Linked DNA regions of Xenopus tropicalis. The protein of the gene in region 2 purifies or fractionates together with the protein of the main gene of each other region. This does not show direct contact. Links are inferred from orthologs where the notes say so. Each region holds a gene or a part of one and is shown on either strand. Other genes may lie near its edges.

Region 1 (4,213 bases), on a different chromosome or scaffold from region 2:
AAGACAAAACACAAAAACGTACAATTCTCTCATTAATGACAGATGTGAGAGCACTCTGGTCCCCTCGGAGGCAATACAGGTTGAGAGCAAGCCATTCAAAGAGAGACTGGTTACACATCTCAAGAAGCCGCTGTCCGAATGTGGAATCTGCAGGGAAAAGGCATTAATAAACTAGAATTCTAAAAAAAAAAAAAAAAAAAAAAAAAACTTATGTTCCTGTATGGAGTTTAGTTACTACTCACAACTGTAACACACAGACTAATCTACACTAACCATAATCAGGTTTGAAGCCTGCTTGCAGCCCCACCTCTTTACAATTAAATGACCAGATTATGGCAGGTCTTCAGAAACAGTGCTATCACTATATAGTTCCTGAGAGTCATGCAACAAGAAAACAAAATAATGTTCACCATAAAAGCACAACTAAAAAGCTAAAAGACAGTCGACTAAAAAAAAAAAAAACCCAAAAAACAAACTACAAAATCATATCTAGATGGTACAAATGCCCGGCCACTTTACACACCATGTTCCCAAACGTATCAGACAAGTGTTGGCGATGCAATATTCAGCGAGGTGATATGAAACATATATGGTGGGACTGTCCCAACCTACAACCATTCTGGACCCATGTATTCCAAACCATCTCTAAAGTGCTATGCCTTGACCTCCAACCCGACCCAGCCCTAGCACTACTCTCTAAACCCCCTACCAACAAACAAATTTCTATTAAGCAAAAGGGTCTCCTTGCCTTTTCATTAACGGCAGCTAGAACAGTTATACCCAGACTCTGGAAGAATACCAAACCCCCAACGATTGGAGACTGGGCGATTGAGCTCAACCATATTATGAGAATGGAAGAAATGTTAGCACATACCACCAAATCACGTGAAAACTTCACTAAAGTCTGGACAACTTGGATTCTATACAAAGAATCTCCAGAATATGGTCAATTACAACCAAACAACCAGCAACCCAATCCAGACCCAGGTCTAAGCCCTTGGAAACCCTGTAAAAATATGAGCAAAATCAATATCCTGGTATGCCACAACACAATATAATACACATACCTCTGCCAGAACATAAGACTATACCAAAAGTACAGGTACAAGTTATCACTGCATTGCTCTGCTCTACCCAACTTTTACCCCCCTTTCTCTTAGGGTAAAACATAACAGAAAACAAATAACTACCCTCTACTGTATATGGTCTCAAGTACAGTAAATTATTAAAAAAAAAAAAAAAAAAACACGCAATGACGTAACTATACAAACTGTGATAACTGTAACAGACCATTGATACCCCTACCCCCTCTTTTCCCACTTTGTATGTTATCCTTTTTCTTTGTAAATATTTGAAAAATGAAAAAAAAGAATATAAAAAAAAAAACAAAAAACTTTATTTCAGTGGACCTTAGTAAGTTACTATATATGAGGGACAACAAATTTGCTGGCATATGGGCTCTGGTTGAGGCCTCACGATACCATTGTTTATAGTTGCTGAGTGCATCATCTGTTTTATATGAAGGGAGATAGACAGTTCCCAAGTAACCAAATAAAGGTTTAGAGCAAGACTTTAAATGTGGATCCTTTTCCACATAGATACCTGCACAATGTAGGATGTGTGTTGTGATCCTGTTGAACTGATCCTGTAGAAATTCAAGGTTTGTTCTTGTGATATCAACATCATCACGCACAGTAACGGAGGCCTGGTAGACATGACACGGGGACAAGATTAGCGATATAACCACTAAAACAGTCAGTGTAAAATATAAAGGACAAAAAAATTCTTACAAAGCTTTCTCTTATGTACTCTTCCAGGCCATTAGTAAGATTTCTTGATGCCATCTGAAAGAGGCAGAAAAAAGATGTCTTGCTTATGGGATATAAGATAATATATATTAAAAGTTAGCATTATCACTGGGTGCTAAGAAAGAATCTAACTTCTGTGCAGAGATCATACTCAAAGGAATAAAGGATCAGCATTTTACTCCCCAAGTGAGATACACACCCACATTATAGCTGCAGAAAGGAACACATAGTGACATACCTGGATGTTATTAGGTGTGGGATCTGCCTGGTGTAGATACTCCTGAAGAAAGAAGGATCTCAGTTGAGGCTGCAGATTCTGCAAAGGCTGGGAATGACCATGCAGTAACATTACCATATCGACCAGGGAGAAATTGTGACAAATCAAGGTGAGTAAGTCACCAAAAAATCCTGGAACAAATGAGGCAGGAAACAAGTTAAAGGCCAAATTTTAGAGAAAGAATTCTAAAAAGAAAAAAGCTGGAGTAAATGGAAGAAACAATTGAAGGGGTGTAGAGAAAGAAAAAAAGACATATACAAAACGAGAAAGGGGCAAAAGGAAAATGCCATAGGGAAGTTTCCTACCACCAGGTCCCTCTGCATCAGGCTGGAAAATGTTGTGGGAGCCACTGAGCCTCTGAATGAAAGCTGCAATGCTTTCTGTTCCACTCTGATCAGCTGCACTCAAAGACCCCAGCATGGATGAAAGGACACCCTGAACAACACTAGTGAAAAACTCTGGAGGAAGAGACTCTGGTGCGGCAGCTGGAGGGGGAGAGGAATGGGCAGGAGGTGGTGAGGGTGATGAAGGAGGAGGAGCCTGAGAAGCAGACTGGGGAGGAGAAGTAGAAACAGGAACAGTCTGTGTAGCCTAAGAAATCAAAAAGAGAAGGATAAAGTTAGATTGTGTTTACTGATAGAAACTCATTGTATTTTCCCTTGTATAACCTATTCCTATTTTACTGCCTTGTGGTATCTACACATCTCTGTATTCCAAAGTCTTATTTTTTTGCTTTTTTAACAAAACACCAAAAACAAAGACAGCAGAAAAAACAGACAGTTGAGGACAAACATTATTATAGTCTTGCTTTACAGGAAGGCAAACACAAGCATCACAACTCACTGGTGAGGTTAGCTACCTCTTTCTAATTCTAAATACAAGTTCCATTTTATTTACCACCAAGGCATTTCCAAAACATTTTAAAAACTAGCCTACAAACCACTGACACCAGCTTCCCCACAGAGAAATGCGTAATTTGTATCTACAATGTAATTAACAAAGCTGGCTGTATGACCATTATTTACTAAATATACAAAAATGTTAGAGATGTTTTGTGACTTATAACGTATTTAAATATTTTTGTGTTACTGTTCCTTTAAGGACTGGAAAAGCATACGTATGCAACTGCATTGCACATGCACACTGAACACCACAATAGGTACCTGTAATATATCTGTGACACCCTGTAAAAAGGCCGGCATTCCAGGCACGGTAACAGTAATACTCGGCGAACCCATAGCGAAGTTTGACATCCCTGAGCCGGCAGTTCCCAGTAAAGAGCCCAGGAGCTGAGAGAGGTGTTGATCAGTGCCAGGTGGGGGCTGGGGAGAGGGACCTGATGAAACAGTGGGGAAGGATGTGGAAGAGGTGGTTGTTGTAGAGGTAGTGACAGTGGAGGATGAAGAGGAGCTGGAGGAGGATGTAGAAGTTGGGGTTGACGTAGAAGAGGGGGTGTTGCTGCCACCCTGAGCTGTGAAAAGAGAAGAATAACTGACAAATCAGCAAGAGAGAAAAATAAACAAAAAACAATCATTAGTAAACAAATGAAAGGCACTCAGCATTTACTTCAGTCTTGATTCTCTAACCTCAGCTTGTCCTGACTATAAAAATGACCAATGCAGTAAAATAACCACTTACACATAGACAGCTTGTTATAGAATCAGCATAGACAATTATTAATTTAGTGTTCAGTTACTTAAACCCGGCCTACCCAGTATTAATTACCTGTACAGGCTTATACATAAACTAATATCTTTTAAAAATAGGGAATGAGAATCTCCCAACCAAAAGTGTCCAAATTAGTTCTATTTCAGTATTATTGCAATATCTGCAAATACACAATGTCTTTTACAAAACCTTATGTTAAAAGAGAGAAAAAAAACAAGAAAGGAGAAGCAGGCAGATAGAAATTAGGTCAGGAAACAAGACATAACATTGGCCTTCTCACCAACAATAACTGGGTGCATCAGAAGCTGTCCAACAAGACCGCTGATCATCTGAGCCAAGGAGGCATTTCCTGCTGGACCCACCTGGAGACAGATGTAGGAGAAAGAAAGCTACAGGTTACAATGTCAAATTAAAATCTTAAGAAAAGAGAGTGCCAATAAATACAGGGTAAAGTGGGTGA
Region 2 (4,213 bases):
TGTTATCATTTTAAAATAATCTGAAATAAAATGTAATCTCATTTGCGCAGGGCCTCTTTACCTGTTATATCCATGATCAGTTGTTTTAGCAGTGTTTTTTTATTCAGTATTTCTATTGTATACACCCATTTATTACACAGAACGGCAGAATATGCTGGATCTTAATAAATACTTGTTAAAGGAAATCATTACCCACAAACAATGTAGGTCTCTATAATATATATTGCATAAAACAGCTCAGATGTAAAGCTCTGCTTCAACTAAATGAACCATTTTTACAAATATATACTTTTGTACATGCTTCTAGGTAATCGTAAATAGAAAACTGCCATTTAGAGTTCTAAGGGCCACCCCCTTAGATCATATGATTCATGGTGCACACAAACAAGGCAAATATGGGCCAACTGATTTAAAAATGTTTTATCAATGTTATTATGAAAAAAATACAAATGTCAATTTTTCAATTATTACATACCGTTGGGATCATCAGGAATGATAATAGGAGGAGCAATATCTGGAAGTTCCTCTTCTCCTGATTTGAGCCCTGTAGCTCTGAGATGGTTGATGTCAAGAAGATCTGGCATGTCTATACTCACATCTATTTAAAAGGAAAGAAGGACCTTTACATCCATTTAATTTATCCTCTTTGACCTAAGAGCAATGGCACATGGGGCGATATTTCAGAATCTCTGAAAAGCAACAGCAGTTTTGGCTATTGCAACACCATATTTTCAGGGAGAATAAAACAAAGTAGGCAAACACCCAAAAAGGGCCACTAGTCTAACATTTCATTAATAACCCAACATCTCTTATGTCATCACAGATAGAATATATAGAATGGGAATTAACCTTATCATGTCTATTATGATATAACTTTGCTCATTATTACACTGAGGAGCAGAACAATTACATTTGTAATTTTGTGAATTTTCTACCATGAAAAAAAGCCATGATTTAAAAAGCACAAATGTTGGCTTATTTATCTGCCAGACTGGATCCCAGCCAGATCTCCCCCCACCGACGCACTGAAAGTAAGCTCAATTTACACACGCTCAGGGAAGTGGGTCCAGCAATTAGAGGGGACCCCTGCAGGGGGTGTGGGGGGCCACGGCAGGGTGAGCCCTGCACCACACCAATCTGACCCTGCCAAAACCTTGAAATCCTTGTTTAAGAATTTTTGTGCATTTACAAAAGAAAAAAAACAAAAAGACCTCAAAAACCACACATTAAATACTGTTATAATTTTCCTAAGACATTGACTTCTGAATGCCCTCGACAGCTTTTAGATGGCATATGTTTGTAATAATGTTTTTATGGTTTTTACACTTGGAATATTTTACTAATTGCTCAAACACTTTTTTCATAATTTATCATTTTTAGCACTAAAAAATACAATTTGAAAAAAAGAAAAAACATAAATGTTAGTAAATCTTGCCCTGAGTACTTAATTACTCACCAAGTTTCTTGGGTACCCAATCAAGGCCAAATGTAAACTTCTTTATCTGGACTACCAGGTATTCAGGGAATGAAGCAAAGCGAGATGTCCTAAAAAACAAACACTTAAAATATTGGTAAAGAAATGAGATTACACCTGATCATACATATAATTTTCTCTATAAAATAAACACAAATGCAACTCTATTGATTTAGTGTGAATCAGATTTTTAAGGAACGGCCACCTATTGTGTTTGCCTGTGTCACTACTGCTTGCACTTAACTGCCCCAGTTGCCACCAACTAGCTAATCAGAGAGATCGTATAGATGCCACTCTTTAAGTAGCCCAGTCTATACTCTCAGCATGTTAAGAGTACCCAGGTAAATGTTCTTTCCCCTTTCTCCAAAGTAAATTTCTAGTCTAGATGTACAGGTGCACGTGCATGTGTGGGATTTGGTACAATGCTTGGAACTCTATAAATACAGTATGGTTCACCAATCTGGCACTGGCTGAGGACAATAGAATGGTTGCTCAGGTAATTAAAAATAATAATGTGAAACTATCCAAATGTATAAAGTACCTACTTTTTAAAGGGCAGGGAGCAAAGATATCTTTATAAGATGATTTTAATAATAACACACTTGCACATGAGAAACCCTGCACTCCAAACAGAAACTGCTGTTTCTCTGGCACAATCTAAATATAGAATTGGGCAAGGGAGAAGAAATCGTTTGCTGACACTCAGCACCCTCTCTCTTCTAGGAAACAGCTGACAGCAAATCGTTGGCCTTCAGGCAGGGAATTATTTACAAAGGAAGGAGCACATGTCTTACCTAATGGATATGAAAACTTCAAGGAATTGTGAGAATAATTCAAAGAAAGTCACGATGAAAGAATGGTATCATACGATTAATTTACTGGTATCATACCAATATGAAAGAGTCAGGTGAAATATTTACTAGTACAGGTATAGGACCCATTATCCAGAATGCTTGGGACCAAGGGTATTCCGGATAAGGGGTCTTAGTAAGTCTTAGTAAGTCTACTAAAAAATTAATAAAACATTAATTAACCCAATAGGATTGTTTTGCATCCAATAAGGATTATTTATATCTTAGTTGGGATCAATTACTAGGTACTGTTTTATTTCTACAGAGAAAAAGGAAATCAGTTTTTCTGGATAATGGGTTTCCGGATAAGGGATCCCATACCTGTAATCATTTATAACCTTAACATTTAACAATACTGCTGCATTTATGGTACAAATTATGTCATGCACACCATAATTATGCACAAAGGATAATAAATGGGTAAATGTGGCATTGTGCATGTAAAAACTCAAAATGATTTAACTCTAAAACCAGCATTGATAACTTAGATTCAGTTGAGTCAAGCCTAAGAATCATATGCAGTGGTTCTGTTGGATAGCTAAATAGTGGATAGATCAGCTTTTACTATTAGAGACTATTAGAGATGCCACTCGTTAGAAAAAGATAAAAAAGCATGACATACTTAACACCCGCAGACTTGGCTTGAAGAGCACTGCTCCAGAAGTCAGGCACATTTTCAGGCTCTGTAAAGGCCTGTAAGCAGGCACTGAATGGGATCTTGGCACGGACCAGCTCCGGTGGAGGCCTCTTTGCACTCTCTGCTTCTCTTCTTTTCAGGTCATATGCAATCAGTTCCTCTGTTAAAAGGTAACAAGTCAGATGGCTGCATATTTGTACGAGAAATTTGTTACCAAACTTCCGCATCATATATTCAGCAATATTTCAACATCAAAACTTGCTAAATAACAAAAATAAGAGAAAACAATGGGGCATTTTCAGTTTTCTAAATTATTATTAACTCCAGCTTCCAAACCAAAGTTTGTTAAAGACCACCACACTACACAGAAACCTCTAATATATCACTGTCATCTGTTGCTTTAAAATGTAAGAATAAATACCATTTTTGTATGCTGAAATCAAGCTGCAAAACAGTTTTTTTCTAAAACATTGATGTTACAAATTGTAACAACTTCTCCAGTTTACAGACAGCATGCAGGGACTATTTTACCATTCCTTTCCTTATTGACATCACATGTGGAGGGAATTGTGGGATTTGGAGGATGCAGGCTGAAGGCAGGCTGAGGACAGTCAACTATTGTTACATTTTATTTGAGTCTAAAAGTATTCAGCCAGATGAGCATTAGAACAGGGGGACATTATGTATTTTTTGAGCTGTAATATTGGTGCGTAGGCTCCACATCAATGCATTGTGCCTGATCCTGAGCTTTGAGAAAGAGCCAGCGCTACACACTGAAACTGCTTTCAGATAACCTATAGTTTCTCCTACTCCCATGTAACTGGAGGAGTCCCAAGCCGGACTTAGATTTCTTACTATTGAGTGCTATTCTGATATCTATTGGGAGCTGCTATCTTGCTACCTTCCCATTGTTCTGCTGATCGGCTGCTGGGAGGGGGCTGATATCACTCCAACTTACAGCTCAGCAGTAAAGTGTGACTGAAGTTTATCAGAGCACAGGTCACATGGCTGTGGCACCCTGGGAAATAAAGAATATGTCCAGCCCCATATGAAATGTCAAAATTAAATATAAAAAAAATCTGAGTAGGGAGCGTAACAACAGTCTTGAATATTCTGCATTTGTACACAATCTCTCTGATGGTTGATTGGTGGAATCCAAGCTCTTTAGAGATAGTCTTGTAACCTTTTCCAGCTTTATGGGCATCAACAACAATTTTTCTAAGGTCCTCAGACACCTTCTTTGTCTCAGAA

Evidence for each region.
Region 1: the proteins of usp13 (region 2) and bag6 purify together in Homo sapiens (affinity purification with western blotting; 3 studies listed by BioGRID and IntAct, with this or other methods). This does not show direct contact. The link is inferred for Xenopus tropicalis from reciprocal best matches to the Homo sapiens genes USP13 and BAG6.

Annotation. Positions count from the first base shown.
Region 1 is NC_030684.2:74,272,661-74,276,873, reverse strand, and holds part of bag6 (large proline-rich protein bag6), read right to left. Parts: intron 4,116-4,213; coding exon 4,034-4,115; intron 3,557-4,033; coding exon 3,249-3,556; intron 2,677-3,248; coding exon 2,391-2,676; intron 2,217-2,390; coding exon 2,047-2,216; intron 1,845-2,046; coding exon 1,791-1,844; intron 1,706-1,790; coding exon 1,603-1,705; intron 148-1,602; coding exon 23-147; intron 1-22. UniProt on the Homo sapiens protein: ATP-independent molecular chaperone preventing the aggregation of misfolded and hydrophobic patches-containing proteins.
Region 2 is NC_030681.2:108,713,014-108,717,226, forward strand, and holds part of usp13 (ubiquitin carboxyl-terminal hydrolase 13), read right to left. Parts: intron 3,123-4,213; coding exon 2,948-3,122; intron 1,546-2,947; coding exon 1,457-1,545; intron 599-1,456; coding exon 476-598; intron 1-475. UniProt on the Homo sapiens protein: Deubiquitinase that mediates deubiquitination of target proteins such as BECN1, MITF, SKP2 and USP10 and is involved in various processes such as autophagy, endoplasmic reticulum-associated degradation (ERAD), cell cycle progression or DNA damage response.